Arabidopsis thaliana: one gene and its partners. The protein of the gene in region 3 interacts with the protein of the main gene of each other region in a pairwise test. Each region holds a gene or a part of one and is shown on either strand. Other genes may lie near its edges.

Region 1 (6,530 bases), on a different chromosome or scaffold from region 3:
AAAAAATTGAGTGGTTATCTTACTCCAACTTCAGGGTCTTCAACACCTAAATCCTTGCACAAGGTTCTTGCAAATTCCTCAGGATCACTCTCAAAATTGTTTAGGTCCTGCAAAACGGCAATCAAGCTGCACTGAGAAAAAGAGTACAAACAATAGTTGAAATTGTTCAAAATCACCAAGTATTCTCACCCATAAGAACTGATCCTTGATGAGAGTATGGTTAACTCGGAGATCAAGCTGGCACAAAAAAGAAAGAAAGATAGCTTATCAGCTTCTAGAACTTCTTTTTTTCCAACAAATCACTCATGGACAAAAGAGAGAGGGATAAGGATATCTAGCGTCATAAAACCTTAATTGGTATGATTTTTTCACCAGTGTACATGTCTTGTCCTTCATAAGCCCGAAAGTCTGAGAGCTGAGACTGATAAAGCAGGAAGTTGACCAATGTAAGTAGAGATTTCTGAAGAAATTATTCCAATACTTACAAAAACAGAACAGAACATAACTGAAGCAAGAGTACATTCATCACAAAAGCACAGTCTTACAGATATACATCCCAAAGTACAATGCTATAAACAGGCCTCTTCTCGAGTAAAAAAACCTAAAGAGTTAAAAACAATAAGTCGAAAGTGTGATTGGTTTAAGACTAATAGGTGACCTTAAATTTAAGCTCATCTCTATGACAAGCAAAAGAACTAACAACAAAATCAGAGCAGAAGAAAAACTAAAGATAGGTCAGTGTGAACTAGTTTAGAAACAACCTGAATAGATTGGGCAATCTGAGTGACAAATGCATAGGGAAGTTTCAAGTCTTTAACAGTTCTTTTGGCAAAGATAACGACTTCATTATCCGGGTCTGTATCCAAAACCAAAAACAAGAATCAGTGAATCACATACACTGCTACTGTAATAAGATGCGAGAAGATGGAAAACAAAAAAAAAGGTAGGGTTTTTAAGAGAGAAACCTGAAGGGTTCCAAGTGAAAGCATCTTTGTAACGCTGACCTTCGAATTGAATGTCCAATCGAATAGGTACCAAGTTTTCAGCAGTGGGCCTATAGCTCCGATTACAAATCGATTCATCAGAAAAAACAAAAACACATGAACTCGATTTCGATTTCAAAACAAACAAAGTAGAGGAAGCGACGAAACTTACATCCTGAACTTGACGGGACCTTTCCAACCAGTAGACACTAAACCCTTCATCCTTAAACCCCCAAATTTCACAAATTGAGTTTCGAAGAGAGTCAGCGAGAGAGTGTGGGAAATTTCAATTTCTCGATCTTTTTCCGGCGCTAGCTTAATTTATTTCAGAATCACCCTTATATTCTAATGTCTTTACACATTTCACCTCTAATTTGGAATTTTCCCATTTTGGGACGAATTATCTGGATCCGATCCTACGATCAATTGCAGCATTTGGGCTTTAAACGAGCTTGTTAGTCATTTAGTGGGCTTTAAATGGGCTCAACATTAAAATTGTACATTGGTGACAACCAACGAGACGGCTGCCGGCAGATCAAAGAGAATCATTCTCTTCCTGACAACGTTCCTCTATTCCATGTTCGTGCTCCCCATAACAACGTTCGTGTACTTTTTTCCTAGTCATGTAACACATTCGAAGAAACACACGATTACAAACATATAAAAAATCTTTGCATTATTATTATTCAGAACAAAAAAGAGAAGTCTTGGATATTGTGATTTATTTATAAGAAAAAACACACTCAAAGGTGTCATATAAATAAATATATGCATCAATCAATTCTCCAACTTCTTCAAGGCCTTTGTTGCAATATGCAGCAATAGCTCCGTCCCGCCTCAAGTCTCTTCATCAATGCCTAAATCTTACACGTCTCGTAACTGCGCAATCACAGCCTTGACCGATCCAAGTTTTAATACCTCTCCGGTCTCGTGATCTTTAGTCTTCTCACGGTTTCAAGAAACATACTAAACAAAAACATCGATTTCAAAAATTAGAGAATAGCTATAACCGAGGAAATTATACCAATGTAAGATCAAGATATAAGATTCATACTCCCATGGAATATCTCCGACCATCATCCAATCTCCATCCTTGTCTTCATATGTCAAAACATGATGTTTTCGATCTCGATTACCGCCTGTTATAGCCAAGACAATGCATGGATATACTTCAAACTGTTTGAATTTAGTTGAATGTTGTTTTTACGGAATTATGTGTTGTTCATTAATTACTTACAGATGATTGAAGTATCGAACATGTGAGAGAGATTTTCTAATAGACTCTCGTAGCCTGAGAATACGCAAAGGTCGAGTTTTCTTCCAATGGGAACACCTTCCATATAAACCTTAACAAAGAGAGAAGTGTCATCACCACGACGAAGAAGACGACGACCCTTTAGTGTATCTCTTAATCTAGACTTTATCGGTGGCCAATCTTGTCTTGCTTCTCTACAAAAAAATAAAGATTTAAAACACAAATGTGAACAAAAGAAAACAGAGCAAAAACAGAACATAGGAAAAAACAGAGAAGTGATGTGAATAAGACCTTTGTGGAGAAGTAGAAGGAAATGTGAGACTAAGGGAGAGATTAACAGAAGATTCAGAAGGAGAAGGTTTAGTACTGTCGACAGAGGATGAAGAAAATGAAGAACAAGAGTTAGAGACCTCCATTAATGAGACCTTGAAGCTGCAGAGCTAGCTTCATGCTTCCTTCTCTTCTCTATTGAGAGTGCTCTTCATGTCTCTCTCTCTCTATTTCTATTTCTCTCTGTCTAGTTAAACAAAAAAGGACTAGTAGGTGATTCTATTGCATAGATTTTGAATTTAAAAATTGATTTAATCGACTTTGAAATTTAATATAAATAAATAATAGGAACATAAGGTTCCCCACATTTAACTATGAACTTTCAACCTTCTAAATATGAACACACATTGATTTCTGAAAACCACTGTAATAATTACCCGATTAGATACTTAATTCATGGGTTTAGATCTTTGGAGTTAGTTAGTAGTAAAAATGTGAAATTATGGTTTTGAGATTTGTTTACATGTAAGATTCGAAGTTTCCGTAAAAAGGTGGTATCCAAGGAAAGTGTGTCTAAATGATGTTGGAGTTAATCTGTTAAGGCTTTGATTTTAATTTCTCAACTGCTCAGATTCTTTAATTAGGAGAGATAAGGGCCAAAAAAGGCTTTATTGTCTAGCCGTAAACAGAAACAGAGCATCACATCACTTTCACTTTCTTACACATCAATATTTGAAAGAAAAAAACTGAGTCTATAGACTATGAACTTGGGGGATCAATTTTTTAGACCCTTCTGTTGATAAGAAAACTCAATTGTCTCTTATGACACATTAATGTAACAGACCATTGAAAATTGCAGAACCAATAAAAATAAGGTAGACTTGAAGAGTTTTGTGTATATTGTTTTTGTGGAGCAGACAGTGTTCTTTTCTTTAACTATACGTTTCCTGTTAATGTCTCTTTAGCTTTGTGGATTGTCTCTCTTAGAAGCCCAAATCTTTTACTCTTTTTTGAAAATCAAAATAGAATTCGTTGATTTATGATAACTTCAAAATATAAAGTAGACATAAATTGTTACATCACATAATGCTCATTGGCTGTATTGATAATAATATTAGATTCTAGAATCATCATGGGAAGTGCACTCTAATAGTTACTTTGTAATAAAGCCTACCTTGGATGTTGGATCGATAAGACTCCTATTAGCTATTATACGATCTGTCTTTGGACATGCATGTCTGGTCTCTAGGGATCCTTCTTGTTAGAATTTCGATATATATAACTTTATAATGTCTAGTAGTCTAATGATGAATGTTTACTCCTCTTTATACTTATAATAATAATTAAGACTACTATAAGTCTATAATCAATTAAACTTTTATCAAAAAAATATGTCCAAGGAGTTATTACTCGCATACCTCGACTTAAAAGAGTTTTGTCATTAGTTTTCGTTGAAGTAAGTAAGAACCAAAGATAATAATCAAACTCCTGATTTTCTGAAGTTTCTTAAAATGGTATTCAAATTTTGGCCATAACTCTCAATATATTAAGACCGAGCATGCGAACGAGAAAAAATATGATCACCATGGTTTGCAGCTCGATTACTTCTAAGTTCTAACCATGGTAAATTTAAACGTTTTGTTGAAGTAATATAGAGAGGCATGCAATAGTATTGTGCCAAAAAGTTATAGCAAGAGAGATCAATATCATGATATGTACTCCTAAATTAACGTGGCATGTTCATGCATAGACAAAGATGCAATCATATCTCCACGTTTGCATACAGCTTCAAATAATAAAATCATATAGTCATACAAACAAAATGAATGTCCGCTGCTTATGAAAATTAATTATTTGGATAGTACTTCGTATAAAAGTTACATCAAATGATTTTAGTTGATTTTAAGACAAGGGGTCCCTTGAGTGATACACAAACTCATCATGAGTATTCTGATCCATTTCATGACGAATAAATTAAAACACAATCAGAAGGTTGATCATGGGTTGGGAAAGATGTATTGGTCGGTCGATATGCCACATGTTATATTATGTTTTATACTTATTCCTGAATAGAAAGATATGTATGAGTCGAAATATACAAAAGAAGGATGAAACTTGTTCTTCTTTATAACCTTATAAAATGTTCACATTGTTTATGAGTGATTTCCCGCGTCCATTCCATACGACTTCATGATTAACATCCCTCAATATATTGATTATGACAATGTTCGAAAAAACTGTTAGATGCCAGGCAGACGACGATTCAACCGGCCAAGTTTTGTTTCCGCGCGCGCGCATAAGTCCACTATCTAATATGCAACCATTACGGTAGAAGTTTACTTGGTCCATTTTCATTGATAACAACAAAAAATCGTAAAACTTTAAAATTATGATGAAAAACGTAAAAAAGAACATGGGAAAATATATGGCGGAATCACAAAGCATGAAAAAATGCTTCGGAATGATTGACTGAATTTACAATTGGTAGAATTTAATTTTAAGAGATAACATTTAAAAATTCAAAACATTAGTTAGCTGTCTTTATACAAAAGAGTTATTTGTGTACCAAAAAATAGAAAACGAGATATATGACCACATGATGAGTTTATGCATGCCTATTACGCCATGCAAATAGATACACACACACATAGTTGTGCCTCTGACTTTGTCTGCAAGTACGTTTGTATGGTTCTAGACAGTAATTATTGTCCTAAACCCACACGCTCTGTGAATACTCACTAAAGGTTGTTTTCCGTAGAAATCATGAACAAAGACTTTAAAAGCAAAACAGAACAATAAATCAATTAATAAGTTCAACGGGATATAGTGGAAAAGAAAACACAGATACACACCATTGGATTGAAACAGTTGCATTTGTGGTCTTACATAAACCTACGTGTTCTTTTATAAGCCAACCAATACTTTTCTCTTTTTTTTTGTTTGAAACGAGTTGCAGACTTTGAGTGGCCCCAAAGAAGAAAGAAAAGATGCAATTTCCTTTGGTTTGATATTCTCTTCAACCTCTTACCTCTCTATTCTCGTCTTTAGCAAAATCTCAAAAGACAAAAAGATATTGATGTCTCTCCAACGACCCAATGGGAACTCGAGTTCGTCTTCTTCCCACAAGAAGCACAAAACTGGTAGGTGTTGAAAGAAACTTATCTAATATTTAACTTAATTTGGTTTAGAGAAATTGGTTTGTATAATTCTCAGAGGAAAGTGATGAGGAGTTGTTGATGGTTCCTGACATGGAAGCAGCTGGATCAACATGTGTTCTAAGCAGCAGCGCCGACGATGGAGTCAACAATCCGGAGCTTGACCAGACTCAAAATGGAGTCTCTACAGCTAAACGCCGCCGTGGAAGAAACCCTGTTGATAAAGAATATAGAAGCCTCAAGAGGTAATCAATGATGAGTAAAAAAACTTTTTTTTCTTAGCATTCGATTTGTGGAATTGAAATGGTAAAAAAGAAACTGTGGTGAAAAATTACAGATTATTGAGGAACAGAGTATCAGCGCAACAAGCAAGAGAGAGGAAGAAAGTGTATGTGAGTGATTTGGAATCAAGAGCTAATGAGTTACAGAACAACAATGACCAGCTCGAAGAGAAGATTTCTACTTTGACGAACGAGAACACAATGCTTCGTAAAATGCTTATTAACACAAGGCCTAAAACTGATGACAATCACTAAATATTTACCCTTTAATCCATTGTTCAGTGTTGTATGATTATCTTTCTTTCTTTTTTGGTTTTGGTTTGTATACACTTTTTGTTCGAATAACATTCACTTTGAGCATCATTGTCATTCAGATTTGCAAAATAAAGTAAAAAAAAACGAAAAAAGGCAAGAAGAGATTAGGTATAAAAACTAGAGTTCTAAAATGCCGTGGTGGGTCCCACATGTTCTTATGCGAGTGAAACGAAGAAGTCTCTGGAGAATTTGTTTTCGTAGAGACCAAGCTGCTGCTATATAAATATTGTGAAAGAGATGAGATTTTAATTACTTGTAAGTGATTCAGAGA
Region 2 (7,283 bases), on a different chromosome or scaffold from region 3:
CTCTGTTGCAAACACAGCTCCTTGGGTCTCAACCATTGGCGCAGGCACGCTTGATCGAAGATTTCCCGCTGTGGTCAGATTAGCCAACGGAAAGCTTCTCTATGGAGAGTCATTGTATCCGGGAAAAGGTATAAAGAATGCCGGGAGAGAGGTTGAGGTGATTTACGTCACAGGAGGAGATAAAGGAAGTGAGTTCTGTTTGAGAGGGTCACTTCCAAGAGAAGAAATCCGAGGCAAAATGGTGATTTGTGATCGCGGAGTCAATGGAAGATCGGAGAAAGGAGAAGCGGTTAAAGAAGCTGGAGGAGTTGCAATGATCTTAGCCAATACAGAGATCAACCAAGAAGAAGATTCTATTGACGTTCATCTCTTACCAGCTACATTGATTGGTTACACTGAGTCAGTCCTTCTGAAGGCTTATGTTAATGCCACGGTGAAACCAAAGGCGCGGATAATTTTTGGTGGTACGGTGATTGGGAGGTCACGAGCACCGGAGGTGGCTCAGTTTTCAGCTCGAGGACCGAGTTTAGCCAATCCTTCGATACTAAAACCGGATATGATTGCTCCGGGAGTCAATATCATTGCGGCTTGGCCTCAAAATCTAGGACCAACCGGACTTCCTTATGATTCAAGAAGAGTTAACTTCACTGTAATGTCAGGAACTTCAATGTCTTGTCCACATGTTAGCGGAATCACTGCTCTTATCCGGTCTGCATACCCGAACTGGTCTCCAGCTGCAATCAAATCCGCATTGATGACAACAGCGGATTTGTACGATCGTCAAGGGAAAGCGATAAAGGATGGTAACAAACCAGCCGGTGTGTTTGCGATTGGAGCAGGGCATGTGAATCCGCAAAAGGCGATAAACCCGGGATTGGTTTACAACATTCAACCAGTGGATTACATAACTTACCTCTGCACTCTTGGATTCACAAGATCAGATATTTTAGCAATCACTCATAAGAACGTGAGCTGCAATGGAATATTGCGGAAAAACCCGGGTTTTAGTCTCAATTACCCGTCGATAGCCGTGATTTTCAAACGTGGCAAGACTACGGAGATGATCACAAGGCGTGTCACTAACGTTGGGAGTCCTAACTCGATATACTCAGTGAATGTCAAGGCTCCAGAGGGGATCAAAGTTATTGTCAATCCTAAGAGACTTGTGTTCAAACACGTGGATCAGACGCTGAGCTATAGAGTATGGTTTGTATTGAAGAAGAAAAACAGAGGAGGGAAGGTGGCTAGCTTTGCACAAGGGCAGTTGACTTGGGTCAACTCTCATAATCTGATGCAGCGAGTTAGAAGTCCAATCTCTGTAACCTTGAAGACTAACTGAGCCAATGAAGGAAAACGTTTTTCATTCTGTTTCAAGACTGTGTTAGGTTTATTAGGTTTTTATGCTAAGAAAACCTCGTGAAGCTGATTGATTGTTGTTATTGTACGCACAAGAGCTGTATTTCATTTTCCAGGGAATGAAACTACTGGTGATTCTATCATATTACTGTAGCTTGATTTCATCACTAAACCCTAATCCAGATGCATGCCTTTGTTGTTATAGTGGTATATTGGATCAGGCACCAATAGAGTGAAAAACCCTAAATATACAAAGATCTTTAAAGACAAGGTTAAGCTGTTGTTTGATATTCACAAACGACCACAAGACATATGTACACTCATGTATAAACATATGCACATGTATATATGTGAATGTGATATATGAGTTACAGACCAAAGAGATGTAAACTGTTTTTGCTATATAGGACTCTCTACTTACCTACTCCAGCTCCAATTGATGTCTTCATGATTCTCAGTCTTGTCACAGACCCGAGGAACATCCTGAGAAGATGAAAAGATCGTTTTCATTGAAATGGATGTGCCACATTACAAATACAGATGATGAATGGGAAGTTATAAGGGTAGTCACTTACTGCCAAGGAACATCTCCTACAAGCATCCAATCTCCGTCTTTATCTTGATATGTTATGATATATTCCGATGAGCCATCCAGTAATTTCGAAGTACATGTTTCCTTAATTGTCTTGTATCCTTGTGTGTTGGATCCTACAAATCGATCAATCAAAACCAGTCAATTTCAAGAGACACAGAATTTGAAAAACAGAATCACATGGAATCTCATGAAACAGAATTAGTAACTGACTTGTTACAGGAGAAGGAATCTGGAAAAACATTAGATCCAAAGTTTTCTCTAAGGCTGCATAAGAATCCAGAGCATTGAGATCAACCTTCCTTCCAATTATAACTCCGTCCATTGTCACCTTCACAAGCATAGAAGTCCTGGACGATTTGATAAAGCAAGCATCATCGTTCTTAGCAGCAACCACTACACTTTTTGTAGTCTCCTTTTGAATGCCAGAACTCAAGCCGCCTTCCGTAGCTAAAGACTTTGCTTGATTGACCAAACTGTTGATTCTGTAAGTCCGTAGAGGCGGCCAACCTACAGCAACTTGTCTGCTCCATTACCAAAAGATATTAAATCAAAAGACGAACAAGTATAAACCAATATGATTCAAAAGTTTAACTAAACATTTCAGGGAACACTCTATTTGATTCAATCCTGTGATTCATTCATTCTCAAAGTTTAAGGTCTAAAAGCTCTATCCTCTAAGTTGCTTTGATTCTGTAACAATAAGCAATCTGAGACCAATCATTCATATAGGTTATAATATAAAGTCTCGAAGATGAATTTTTTACCTGGTTGCGTTTGAGGCGGCAGCCGGAGAAGAATCAGCAGAGCGTTTGGTCCCACTTTCCCTGGTCAGAGAAGAAGACGAGGAAGACAAAGACGATCGAACCTTCCGACGACCAATGCTAAGACCCAAAGCTAGGTCGAGCTCTGTCTCTGACACTGACTCGTCGGGGCAAGATGAATCCTCCGACGAATGTGCGGCGTTTTCGTCTTCTTCAGCTGGTAGTCCGATCATCACCGACCCACTTGACGAACAAACTTCTTGCAAACCATTCATTATCCCAAATTGCCAAACGAATACACAAAGCAAGAACACTAAAACCCTTGATTCAAATCCAATTATCGATCAAGTTTGAAGAAACCCATTAACCAAGCAAACCAAAAAAAAGGTTTCAACTTTCAACACCTCTACGATTCTGAATTTCGAGACAGAAAAAAAAAAAAAACTTGAGGTCACGCACGGATCCACAGAACTGAAATTGAGAACTAAACGAGGTTTTAATCTTGATTCGAGGGCGACTTCGATTCTCGGATCAAAAACAAGGAATTTTTCTTAAAGAGAGAGAGAATGAAATTGGAGGAACGAAAAATCGGAAACGGTACACGAATGTGTGCGTTGCGTTTGGTGGAGGTTTGTTCGTCTATATAACTTTATTATTTTAATTAAATACATGATGGGACCCACTTGTATACACTTCTAACGACAAGTTTTACGTTAATCCTACGCTAATTGTGTAATTAATCTCTTGCGCAATCAAAGCTTCATCTTCCTTTACAAGTTACACAGTTAGGGCTCCGATGGTAATCTCACCACATCTGTTTCCCAACAGTGAGAATTTCAACATCTTTCATCGCCATACCAATTGTTCTTCTCCTTTGGTCCTGTAGGACCTTCCTCGCCGGATAATTCCACCGGAAGTTTTCTAAGCACTGTGGCAAGCGAAACCCTAACCGTCCTCGGAAATCGATTCACCAATCTCTCTATCTCCTCTCTTGAATCGTACACAACCTTTGGTCCCCATTCTCTCATGTACTGCAACCACGGCGGTTCTGCCAACACACTGTTTCCGCTGAGATACTCCGCTGCAATGATCTCGTACCGTGAGCTCGAATCTACCAAGAGTTCACTACGCGCAGTGTCATTTCTTATCCCAATCCCAAGCATTGTCGATCCCTGTAAGTAAGTCCCAGCCCTAGGAAAGCTTGCGTGACCATGTTTTGAAGAGTAAACAACGGCTTTGTTGCTTCCGGGAATGATTTCAAGGTCGTATGCTTCGATCCACTCGCCGCCACTGTGTTGAGACAAGTAGATTGAGTAAAGCTCACCAGAGAAATTGCTGATTCGGAGAGTGAAATGTTCCCAATCGCAGACGTGTTGGCCAATACTGATCAATGAGATATCGACGAGTCCTAGTTTTAAGGTTGCTGGTCCGTTAAATGGACAGAAGATCCAGAAGACAAGATCCGTGAACGTTCCTCCAAGAGCAGGCTTAATATGAATGTAAAGTTTCGAGCTTTCAAGGTTTCCTCGCTTGACGAAATCTCTTTGTTGATCATCACACGGCAAATCAATCCAAAACTGCTTGTCATTGCTTCCTCCTTGAGGCAAATTCGAACCATTTTCATCGATAGGTTCCTCGATTGGATTTCCCTTTTCGCAGAGAACTGCACCATTTTTGAAGAACCACGAAACAGAAGAAGGTAAGTAAGTTTCACCAGGATGGAAGACTAGTGTAGGACCATAGTGTTGAATCAAAGCTTGAATCTGATCAACATTTGGCATCGCATGTAAACTCAAATCTAGATTCTTTAGACAAGCAATACCGATACCAAGATCTTCTCTAGCAGCAACAAGCCGAGTTCTGCAGAAGAAAGTACCTGCAGAGACACCTTTGCCCCACATTCCTCGGTCTGAAGGCCGAGTTCTCCATATAAACAAAGGAACACCTAAAGATTCTGAAACAGCAGTGACAATGACATTGTGGGGTTCACATATATCAGTAAGATCAGCTCTAACACATCTAACTTCATTCAACTCAGGTTTCACGGAAGTCTTTGTAACCACAAAACCGATCGATCTATACCCTTCAGGAGGCTGCGGTAACCAGAAGTAACCGCATTCGCTCTTACTACTACATTCATTTTCTGCTGAATCATTTGAGCTCCAGACAAGAGTAAAATCAACAGGTTCCACTAATGCAGGTTTCTCTACCTGTTCTAATGAATCCACTAAATCTCTTGCCGCAAGTACATAACCTCTCAAAGGATGAGAATCAGACTGACAGTAGTGACCTAAGCAATGGAAGTCTTTAGGTAACAATCCCTTTGGTTTGTAAAATGAAATGTTCTTCTTCTTCTCTGTGGATCTGTATCTCCATATAAATTCAAAATCCGTGATTTTGATGACTTGTAATTTGCCGAGATTGATTGTTCCAGAGCCAAAGCCTTGACCTGATCAGTTTTCAAAGGATGGAGAGACAAAATCTAAGAGACCCAGCTGAAAAATTTCTTCAAAACGCAATCTTTAAAGAATCCTCTTTGAAAACGCAAAAGATTTGATTGACCATTGTTCGAATTAGATTAGTGGATATAGAGATCTGATTGAAAAACCCAATTGAATTTCACGAAATTGAGGAAAATCGAGAAATAAAAATCTCTCTTTTGTCAAGGCTTAAGAAACCTAAAATTGAAATAGAATTTTTGAATTCGAAATCGTTGACAAGAGAAGTCGGGAATTGAATGGAATTGGAGTTACCTGGAGGCCAATGGGGAATGGAAGAAGGAAGAGAGAAGGTTTCAGGGTCCTTTAATGGCGGTAAATCTATAAGATTGTTCCAGTGGAGACATTTGTAACCCAACATTCTTATCTGATCGCGCGAAACCCTAATTAATCAGGAAGGTGGAAATATGTCAGCTTTGTAGCATCTCATCACTTGTTTACCATTTCCTTCGGGCAATAAATTAAAGATTTTCCTCTTATTGAGAAAACCAAAAAGTCATGAAACTGTTTTATCCAATTCCACACATCAGCGAATACCTTGGGGAAAAAGTAACTTTGGTTTTTGAAGAAACGCCACAAGAAAATGATGATGAACACGAAAAACTTGGACAGTCGCACAAAATATGTTTTGTTTCAAAATATATCTAAAAATCCTCGCATATTTACCCCATAAGTTTTAAAATTGTATATTTTTCCCATTAAGTAAGAATTCGAGGTCTATTCTTTTCTTTTTGGAAAATTAAGTTCTCTAAGCGTCGTTACTTTTCCTTTTTTTCTTCTGAGGAGTTTAACTGAGTTAGATCATTGAAACAGTACTACCCGGCTCCATCAATTCAACTTCTCTGGTTACAATCTGTATCATAACCGGCGTAAATCCAAGAACTTTTACGAATCAAACAAACTGAAGAAAAGTAAATATCTATTGTCACTGATCGAGAAAAGAGAGACATGTAAACATCCAGACACTAAATTTGAGTAGATAGAAGCAAATGGTTATCAATTACACTACAAAAACGACCAGCAGCAGTAATAGGCTCAGTAGTACGTGTTGTAGTACGCTTGAGGAGCAACAGCAGCAGCCGGTTGCTGCACCGGTGCAGCCGCTGGTGCTGCTGCTGCAACTGGAGGTGCATAACTCTGCGTTGGGTATGTCTGCAAAAAATTTCACAAAGATAAGATCCAAGTTAGATGATCAAAGACTTATCTCCAAGAGTGATTCCCAATTCAAACTGGTGGCTAATCCCTGTAATCCTCCTAAATACTCCTGAGTTTAACACTAATTAAGAATTTTGGTTACCTGAGCAGGATACGCTCCATAAGCTGCGGCCTGTGGCACAGGTGTTGGTGCTTGTGGAGCGGTATAGCCAGCAGGATATCCCCCATATGCACCATAAGCAGCCTACAAAGGTATATTCGATACTATTATAAGAGTAAAAGTATAGAAGGAAGGAAATGGATATGGTTCTATCTTTGGTATCTTACCTGTTGACCGTAGGCAGGGTTCCATTGCTGTGGTTGAGCAGGAGCAGCTTGTGCTGGTGGCCAAGTCTGAGGCTGCGCAGCATAACCACCAGACCATTGAGCCTGAGCATTTGGATATGCATTGGATACTGGCTGAGCAGGTGGAGTGCCGTTGTAAGTTTTTGCCATTTTCGTCCTATCTGATGCGAGAAAATCATCTGCGCTACGCTTTTTCAGCTCCGACGTGCTCCGATGAGGATAAAACAGTTTAACATGTTGATCTTCCGCTTTTTTAATGGACTTCACATCTCCAAAAATACCCAGGAACTGCAAAGGCCATGCACATTTGGGTGTTAAAACCAATAATATAGATACATCATGTTCAAACAAGAATTGTCTTCTTTCTTTTCCATTACCTCTATATATATTAAGGATAGCTCTTCCCTCTCAGTGGAACTTGCAATGTTTTGGGCATCTGCATCTGGCTTTATAACTTTCTCTACAAGTGGCTCAAGGTAATCAATCTCTCTTGGTGGTGGCTGAATCGCCTCAAAATGAATCAGTGCTTCCATGAGAGGTTTTGACGGTTGTACATGGTCAAGTGCTTCGACA
Region 3 (8,752 bases):
TCCAAGTTGATCAGCCTGTTTCATTACACAACCATCATTTACATCAGATGTATTTTCACTGCTGGAACAATTGTATTGCTTCTGTTTTTCAGAAGTTGATTTCTCAGAGAAGGGTTCATGAGATGATTCCAGAGGTTTAATCTCCATCGTAACTTCAACGGAGGAAGGCCTTAGTAATTTCACTTGTTCCATGTTGTCAGCATCAGACGAACCAGTAAAGCATTCTATCTGCATATCAGGCCCATCAGCTTCTTCGTTTCTGATCAAGACATCTATCTCATGACCACCCTCTTTCACCTCAAGGACTAATTGGTTCGACAAATGTTGCTCTTCAGATTCTCTAAACCAGTATTTGCATTCGGAAAATGGACCAATGAAATCAGTCTCATAGTTTTTCTCTGTGCTTTCGCTTATTTCAATTCTCTTCTCCGTTTCTAATACAGATTGACCATCACACACCATGTTATGATCACACAAAACAGAGTTCGCTACCGCATTTACCTCAAGATGATTGCATAGTGATTGAACACAATCTAGTGCTTCAGAAGGCTCCAAAGGTACAGAAACAAATTCAGTATTACCTAACTGATTTTCTGAAGAAGATGGATTGTCTGCATCACCCTTTATTGAAGCCAAATCCCCAAAGAAAGATGATTTTGCAGTGAAGGAATCCAAAACCTCAGGCTGCTTTGCTACATATTCAGTAGAATGATAAACAACTAACGCATCTTTTTCTTCAGAAAGGCAAGGACTAATCTCGTCTTCGTTTCCAGGGTGCAGGCATTCATTTAGAGGTTGTCCAGGTACATCCAATGTATCAGAATCTCCACTAAAATCATTGGTAGTACACATATCTTCTTCCCCCGGATTGCTGACTTTCAACTGTGAGTAGTTGTCAAACAGTGTCAACTCATCGCAAGGAGGACCCTGCATCGTAGAATCCATAGAATCTTTCATTGGTAAAGCACAGTATTCTTCTACTGAGAGGCAAGACTTCCTTTTCTCATCTCTATTATCGTCAGACATATTACTACCATCTTGTACATTATTTTTGCAGCCTGAGGGCGGCAGCGCACTGTTACCCTGGAATTCTTGACATTGTTCAGTAGAAATCTTCTCAGATGTGCAATAAGTTACATCATCCAGAACTAAATTTCCAGTATCACCTTGAATGACACATTGGTGCTGCGGATTTTCATTTATCTGAAAACTCAATGGACAACGCAACACTTTGGATTCTACTTCCTGTGTGCTATTCAAGTCCACTTTCAACTTTTCCTGTGAAGGTTTGAGACATATAGATTGAGCAGAGAATCTTGCAGCTGAATCTGAACTGCCAAAAATTCCAGTTGCTGCCTTGCAGTTGACACCGGGAAACTTTTCAGCAACTTGGGGTTTCTTGAAGGTAGGGATCAAAGAAAAATGAGCGGCTGAACAAACATCAGATCTGGGAAGCTGACTGTGTTTGTCTCCCGCACTCTGCGACGGTTGAGAGTCAGACTGCAAAAATATGAAGTATGTTAGAGTTACAAGAACAAAACCATAGTTATCTCACGATAGAATTCAGTATATTTCAATAATATACCTGACTGAAATAGCCAATTGAAGGTTTTGGCGCTCTTAAGCCTGATGGCTTTCCCAGTCGTGAAACTGCGGACTGCGTGCTTCCAGCTTTATTGCAAGAACTTTGAGCTAACGAGGTGCCCAGAGTAATTACATTAGAGTCTGGAATAACTGATGCATGACCAAGCATAGCCACATCTGATGCAGTCATAGGGCCAACGTTGGATTTTGCAACAACAGAATGCTGTGAGTATGATACTGTCGGAATTTCTGAAGATTTGCTGATCTAGAGTTCAAGAAAATGCAATAGGTTACTCTTAATAGGAAGAATATTGGAAACAAAGCATTTGCTGCAAATTTTTAGTGCATAAACTATTTGCTATATTGGTTTGCAGAGGGCAGCATAGCTTTACCACATTTCTTCTAGCTTGCTTAAGAGAGGGCTTAGGAATTGAAGATTTACTCGCCAGACTGGATTTTGTTTTACTCTTGGTGCTTGAAGTGTTTTTAGAGAAGCTTTCAGATCCTAAGCTCCTCTGAGAATTCTCTGTCATATCAGACAAAAAACCATGTAGCAATATATAAACAGGATGAAAAGTAACAGAACTAAAAAGGATATGAGATGAATAGTTTTTATTTGCTAACTGAAGTGAACATACTTAATTGAGTAGGTTGACTGTTTTTCGCTTTGATTGGACTTTGAGTAGTCCTTTTCATGTTGTTTCCAACTGTAACTGGGTCAGATTTGGTAGTAGGAACTTTAGATATGCTCAGCTCCCTGCAACGTGATGTTGTTGTATGCACATTTGCAGGTCTTTTCAGGGTGCAAGATGGTTAAGGTAAACAAGCAAAAAGAACACAAACAAGACCTGCAAAGGATATCAAGATTGCCTATACACTCAGTACTCAAAGTAAGAAAAGGATATGAAGATGAAGGAGGAGGCCGGGGACAGCCACTGCGCTTGGAACCACTCCTTAAATCCTGAGCTGAGATAACTTTTTTCTGGGCCTATAATGCAGATATTCGACATTTAGATAGACTGCGCCTCAAAATATATATATTTACGCAAGGAAAGAAACGACTTATGACCCTCATTAGCTCCACAATATTTAGGTCCAGTAAACTCACCGAGGAAGATTGGGATTTAGATGGTGATCCGTACTTGGGCATTATGCCACTGACAAGCTTCTTCTCTCTGTTTTTACTATTCACAGGCAAGTCGTTAAATAAGTTTTCTTCAAGTGCTTGTAGTCCTGGTGAAACATTACATTTGGAAGCTGACATTGACTCTCTGTACTCTTCCTGAATGGCAGCTAACCGATCTCCACCAAGATGGCAAGCAGTTCCAGTTATTTTAGATAACTCAGATGAATCCAAAACACCTGGTTCATGACCATATCACACATCTTAAGATTCTTAGTAACATAGACCAAATCTTTGACCTTTACTACTAACAGGAAATTGGTAAAAAAAAGTCACCTTCTTCCGTTGAAAAAGCTCTATCCCATGCTAAACTCTTGCGCAAATTAAACCCTGCATTCTTTTTCTTCTTCTTCATCTGTTGTCGCTCCACACTCAATTTGGGCAATTCAACTTTAGCATTCTCCTTTCCTACACTATCTGTATCAACTGAAGCGCATGGCTGCTCCCTGTTGTTGCTGGTGCCTGTTACTCTTCCTGCAAAAAGTATTAACCTTCATATATCCGCAGAATACACAACATTTATACTAATTTGCTATTTTATCAAATTAAGATTTAAACAATGCTAATTCAGATGCTTAAACACTCTAACAAAGGGAGAGAGAAATTATCAGAACGAAGCTCGGATCGAGAACGAGAAATTGAAGCGCTTACCAATTGGGGAAAAAGGAGGCCGAGTAGGAACGATACGACTAGATCTAGGGATTTGGAGAGGTGAGCATTTCAAATAACTCTTTCCTCGGCTCGAATTAGTTTTCTTCGGCGTATTCTTCAGAAGCCAATTATCTTCGTCGTCTTCTCCAGAGATATCTAAGAGATCCTTATCCATTTCTAGCTTCTCTTTCGAGCCCAAGATCTGACGATTAGGAAATCCGGAATCCTATAGCTAGGTTTTTTCAAACTTACACTGAGAAAATCTCTTCGGAAGTTGTAGGCGAAAATCCTAGTCGGTAAATCGGAAATTGTTCGGCCGATGGAAGAGACGACTGTTGATAGAATATCCCGGCCTCGTAAGCGGGAAGAGGTTGAAAAACTTGAAATTGAAAGAAGATCGGACCAACGTTCTCTATAATCTCAGGTTATTATTGTCATTTAAAGCAAATCGATTGGGCCGGACTTTAAAGCCCATTTATTTGAATTTTAAATTCTCGTTCACCCTTTATTGGTTTGGTTTGGTTAGGATAATATTTTTTCGGTTTGATTAAAATCATATCGGTTCGGTTCATGGAGCATTGAAGTAAAAGTAGTTAGCACATGTTTTATTTTTCCATTTGTAGCAATAAGCCTAGAAGACAATACAGTCTCTGTGTTATGCTACAAAAGGCAAAATCTCTAAAGCAAACCAAAAGATCGGAGATCTATTAACAAAGCTCTTTTACTTTTCTATTTTCAAGAACCATTTTCACCTTCACTTTCACTAAAAGAGTTAGGGTTTCAAAGAGGTGAAGATGATGAACAGAGGTTTCTTCTTTAGACTCTTGTTTTTATGTTAAGATCTTTATGCTATTGTTTGTTCTTGATTCTCCAATCACATAACCTATCCTATGTTCTGATTTTTTTCTTGCTTTGGAACAGGAATTTCTGTGGATGATTGTCTTCCAAAGTTCTTCAAAGTGTACTTACCTGATGATTCCGGAGATGATTTGGTAAAAATACACTTCTCTCTCTGTTTTTGGTTATATGTAGATTTTTAGTTTATTGAAACTTTTAGATCCTTCCTCTTCAGGAATTACCCATCTCTTTCAACAGCTTTTTACCAAAGTCGTTGCCTAAAAATGTAATTGTTAGAAGCATTTATGGAAACATCTGGAAAGTGGCGTTTAGGAAGTTTTGTGGTGATAGTGAGAGATTTGTTATGGTTAATGGGTGGAAGAAGATAGTCAAGGACGAAGATTTGAAAGGTGGAGAGTTCTTAGAATTTGAGTTTGATGGCTCTTGGTGTTTCAATTTCTGTATCTATGGTCGTGCAACGTGTAAAAGGCTTAGAAGTTCAGTGCAAATCACGGTTCTTGATGACAATGATGATGGTTTTAATGATGATCAAGATTATGGGGAAGAAGTTAAATCTAGTGAAAATTTCATAGTTCTTGATGATGATGATATTAGTGATGTTCAAGATTATAATGAGGAAGATACATCTAGTGAAGATATTACAGCTCTTGATGATGCTGATAATGATGATATTAATGATGTTCAAGATTATGTTGAGGAAGATACATCTAGTGAAGATATCATAGTTATTGATGATGATGATGATGATGATGATCAAGATTATGGTGACGATGATCATGCTGATGTTGAGAAAGAAAGATGGAGAGGAGTCAAAACAGAGAAAAAAAAGAAAGGTATAATAGAAACTTTTGTCTTGTGAAGTTAACTGAGACTGAGAGCATCACTGTCTTTTTATTTTCTTGCGTATAAATTTTGATAGGTTCTTCTGGAGAGCATGACAGACAATATCTGGATAATCACATGAACCCTTTCTTTACAGTGAACCAGCATCGGCAAATAAAATATAATATGGTAAGAAATGTGAAGAAAGTCTCATGTCTTTTTGCATTTTCATTAAAATAATGTACCACTTCTGTTTTATGATGTTATCTTTGTAATGCAGCTGCGCATACCAACTAAGGTCATAACGAAGTATGGCTTACACTTCCCTGAGTTCATCAATTTGATTGATCCACTCGAGAAAAACTTTGGTAAATTGAAGAGGAAAGTTAAGGGTCAAACAATCAAGGGATTCCGTAGTATAATCAGAAGGAATAATGTGAAGTTGAATGACAAGGTGATTTGTGAGTTAGAAAAGGAGATGGATGGTCTTGTTCGAGAAATCAAGGTCCATGTTATAAGAGGATGATCTCTTGATAAGGCTTTATGCGTTAACTCCAAGACATTATCTATTTTTACTTGAGAGTTTTTATATGAGTAGAGTACTTGGTTTTATGAATCTTATTGGTTTTCTCGGAACATAATCGATGTTGATGCTTTCTATACACTTCTTGATTTTGTTTGTTTGTCTGAAACATGAAGTGCAAAAGACGATCAACACAGTCTTACAATAATAATGTATACTAGAGCTATAGATTTTGGGAGAAATCATTATGAATGGTTCACACATCAGGGCTGTTTAAAACCTGCGAGTTCATGTAAAAAGAATGTTATTACTCTCTATGTGATCATAAGAAAAGCATTGGCATAGGAGGAGAATAATACTAAGATACTTGGAACTCTGCCACTTAACACTATCTCATTCTTCTTTCAAGTTTCAAGTTTCTTGTTCAAGAATTGAGATGTCACAAGTCCTTCTTTCTCTAATATACCCTTCTCGACTCTTTACTGTGGTTCTTTTGTTTAAGGACGATAATGTCATTTACACGATATAGATTGAACCAAACTTAAGGCCCATTTCTTGTTTTTTGTTTGGGCCTTAGCGATACCTTGGTCCGCTTAACGAATTATTTTTGAATAAGAAGAGTACTATTAATGGTTTGTTTTCCATTTGAAGGAAAAAGCATCGAAACAGAGAGAACCCTCTGTTTTTGCAAGTTTTTGCTACAAAAGGCCAACACCTTTAGATCAAATCACATCTGGAAAAACTTGGATCTGGAGAAACTTTGTTCACCTTTTTATTTCCGATCAAAATTAGGGTTCAGAGTATTTCCAAGAGCACAAGAAGTTGACGACAATGAACACAAGAGGTTTTTCACTTCTCTGTTCCTGATTCTTCCCTTGTAATGTGCTCTGTACATTGATGTTCTTCCTTTTCTTATTTTGGAACAGGAAATTACTCTAATGGTTTTACTTCAAAGTTCTTTAAACCGTACCTTCCTAGTGAATCCGGTGATGATCTGGTAATAAAACACACTTCTCTTCACTCTGTTTTTTGTTTTCTGGTTGCTTGAAATTTGTAGAAACTTTTCAGGTACTACCCATTTCTTTCAACAGCTGTTTACCAAAGTCTTTGCCTAAAACTGTAACTGTTAGAAGCATTTCTGGAAACATTTGGAAATTAGGGTTTAAGAAATGTGGTGGTGAGGTTGAGAGATTTGTTATGGTTAGTGGTTGGAAGAAGATTGTAAGGGACGAAAACCTGAACGGTGGAGATCTCTTGTCATTTGAGTTTGATGGCTCTCATTTTTTTAATTTCTCTATCTTTGACCATGAGACTACGTGTAAGAGGCTTAAGAGAAGTTCAGAGCAAAGCAAGGACATCATCAAAGTGGGATCTGATTGTGAAGAAGAATCTCAGGCTAGTGATGATGTTATCGTTCTTAATAGTGATGATTCTGACGATTCTGATAATGATTATTCTGTTGAGGATGATAATGTTGCTGAGGATGATGATGGTCTTGAGGATGAAGTAGATGTTGAGGCTGAGGATGGTTATGATGCTAAGGATAGTGATGGTCTTGAGGATGAAGATGATGATGAGGCTGAGGATGGTTATGATGCTAAGGATGATGATGGTCTTGAGGATGAAGATGATCTTGAGGATGAGGATGACGAAAGGCGGTATCTGGATGATCACGAGAACCCGTACTTTACTATGACACTCAATCCGAAGAAGAAGAGCCAATTGGTAAGAGAAAAAAAAACCTGAATATTTAAGATCTTTACACACTCTCCATTTAACATCTTTGGTTATGGATTCTTATGTGAATAAATTAATAAGGAATATCTCAATCTGTTTTATGATGTTTGTTTCTTGATGCAGCACATACCGGCTCATGTCATAAGGGACTATGACTTAACCTTCCCGGAGCGTATAACAGTCGTGGACGAAATGGGAGCATTGGAGAAAGCAATCAAGATTCAAAAGAATGGTTGCATCTTTGTCAAGGGATTTGGTAGTTTCATCAGAAGGAACAAAATGAAGATGACTGACAAAATGATATGCGAGCTTAAGAGGACTGGAGGTAATCTGGTTCACACCATCAAGGTCAAGATTATCAGCGGATGATCTCTTCACTAAGCTTTTGTGAGTCTTATGTGTCTTAGCTGTGAGTGGTTTTTATTATGTTACTAATGGTAAAATGTCTATCTTAGGATTTGGTTTATAACTAAGGATTTGGGCGTGAGAGATGTTTTCATGTTGAATTAAGACTTTCTATATAGAGTTCATGTCTCATTAAATCTCTCTGTTTTCTCTTGCAACAAACTCTTGAGTTATGCCGTCTAGACAAATCTTGTTGCTTTGTTGCCTGCAGTAAGTAGGGCAACGTCCTCCAACGGATTCATACAAATAGTACTTACATTGTTCGGACAAAGGTCGTCCTTTGTGTTGGAGTAATCTCAAAAGACATTATAGTAAAATGACAAATGGGTTTGGGTTTGTGTTTTGTTGTTGGCACCACTTTTGTATACAAACTTACAAATCAAAATAAGAAAGAGAACCAAACAATATGTTGCAAATAGATTTGGAGGAAATCACTAGGCCTTCCACTGACTACTATAAAACCCCATCTCGAATGGGACCAAAATAATTTAGGTCCATTGGTTTTCGCGGGCCTTGGTTCTTTCACGAATCTTCTTTTAAAACGAAGTCGTTCTAAGTAGTCTTTTACGGTTTTACCATTTGAAGCAACAAGTATAGAAACAGAGAGAAACCTCTGTTTTCAAGTTTTTGCTACAAAAGTCGAAAGCCACTCAACGGAAACCGTACTATCTGAGAAATCTGGGGTTTGAAGAACTGTACTCATCTTAAAATTAGGGTTCCAAATCTCAGCTCTACATTGAAGTAAATGTAGTTAGTAAAGTTTTTTTTTTCCATTTGAAACAATAAGCGTTCAAGTCTCTGCTTTTAGCTACAAAAGGAAAAAAACACTAAATCAAACAATAAGATCGGAGAACGCATATTAACCTTCAGTTAAATCAAACAATTAGGGTTTCACAGAGATCTAGACAAAGAGCAGACAGAAGTGAAGATGAACAAAGGTTTCTTCTTTTTTGTTCTTGATTCTACATTTACACAATGTATCCTCTGTT

Evidence for each region. Proteins that work in one complex are often made in the same cells at the same time.
Region 1: the proteins of AT5G60142 (region 3) and IAA31 interact in binary tests that used the Arabidopsis thaliana proteins (3 or more experiments, as listed by UniProt).
Region 2: the proteins of AT5G60142 (region 3) and IAA10 interact in binary tests that used the Arabidopsis thaliana proteins (3 or more experiments, as listed by UniProt).

What each region holds. Positions count from the first base shown.
Region 1 is NC_003074.8:6,018,387-6,024,916, forward strand, and holds IAA31 (indole-3-acetic acid inducible 31), read right to left. Parts: upstream 2,762-6,530; 5' UTR 2,655-2,761; coding exon 2,530-2,654; intron 2,433-2,529; coding exon 2,221-2,432; intron 2,123-2,220; coding exon 2,038-2,122; intron 1,950-2,037; coding exon 1,895-1,949; 3' UTR 1,587-1,894; downstream 1-1,586. Other genes in the region: BSH (transcription regulatory protein SNF5, putative (BSH)), read right to left, coding at 24-107, 190-237, 350-421, 762-856, 966-1,060, 1,156-1,205; HYH (HY5-homolog), read left to right, coding at 5,585-5,648, 5,722-5,908, 6,001-6,199. UniProt on the Arabidopsis thaliana protein: Aux/IAA proteins are short-lived transcriptional factors that function as repressors of early auxin response genes at low auxin concentrations.
Region 2 is NC_003070.9:1,055,513-1,062,795, reverse strand, and holds IAA10 (indoleacetic acid-induced protein 10), read right to left. Parts: upstream 3,327-7,283; 5' UTR 3,067-3,326; coding exon of another isoform or gene 2,988-3,066; coding exon 2,716-2,987; intron 2,514-2,715; coding exon of another isoform or gene 2,473-2,513; coding exon 2,162-2,472; intron 2,065-2,161; coding exon 1,932-2,064; intron 1,840-1,931; coding exon 1,770-1,839; 3' UTR 1,587-1,769; downstream 1-1,586. Other genes in the region: SDD1 (Subtilase family protein), read left to right, coding at 1-1,339; AT1G04090 (vacuolar sorting-associated protein (DUF946)), read right to left, coding at 3,549-5,161, 5,466-5,571; PRP39 (Tetratricopeptide repeat (TPR)-like superfamily protein), read right to left, coding at 6,246-6,362, 6,508-6,609, 6,693-6,998, 7,088-7,283. UniProt on the Arabidopsis thaliana protein: Aux/IAA proteins are short-lived transcriptional factors that function as repressors of early auxin response genes at low auxin concentrations.
Region 3 is NC_003076.8:24,213,052-24,221,803, reverse strand, and holds AT5G60142 (AP2/B3-like transcriptional factor family protein), read left to right. Parts: upstream 1-4,054; 5' UTR 4,055-4,212; coding exon 4,213-4,225; intron 4,226-4,339; coding exon 4,340-4,410; intron 4,411-4,451; exon of another isoform or gene 4,452-4,490; coding exon 4,491-5,109; coding exon of another isoform or gene 5,110-5,135; exon of another isoform or gene 5,136-5,195; coding exon 5,196-5,287; intron 5,288-5,378; coding exon 5,379-5,624; 3' UTR 5,625-5,857; downstream 5,858-8,752. Other genes in the region: AT5G60150 (uncharacterized protein), read right to left, coding at 1-1,500, 1,586-1,849, 1,977-2,110, 2,223-2,386, 2,490-2,572, 2,693-2,946, 3,044-3,241, 3,419-3,593; AT5G60140 (AP2/B3-like transcriptional factor family protein), read left to right, coding at 6,453-6,465, 6,548-6,618, 6,690-7,346, 7,482-7,727; AT5G60130 (AP2/B3-like transcriptional factor family protein), read left to right, coding at 8,692-8,701.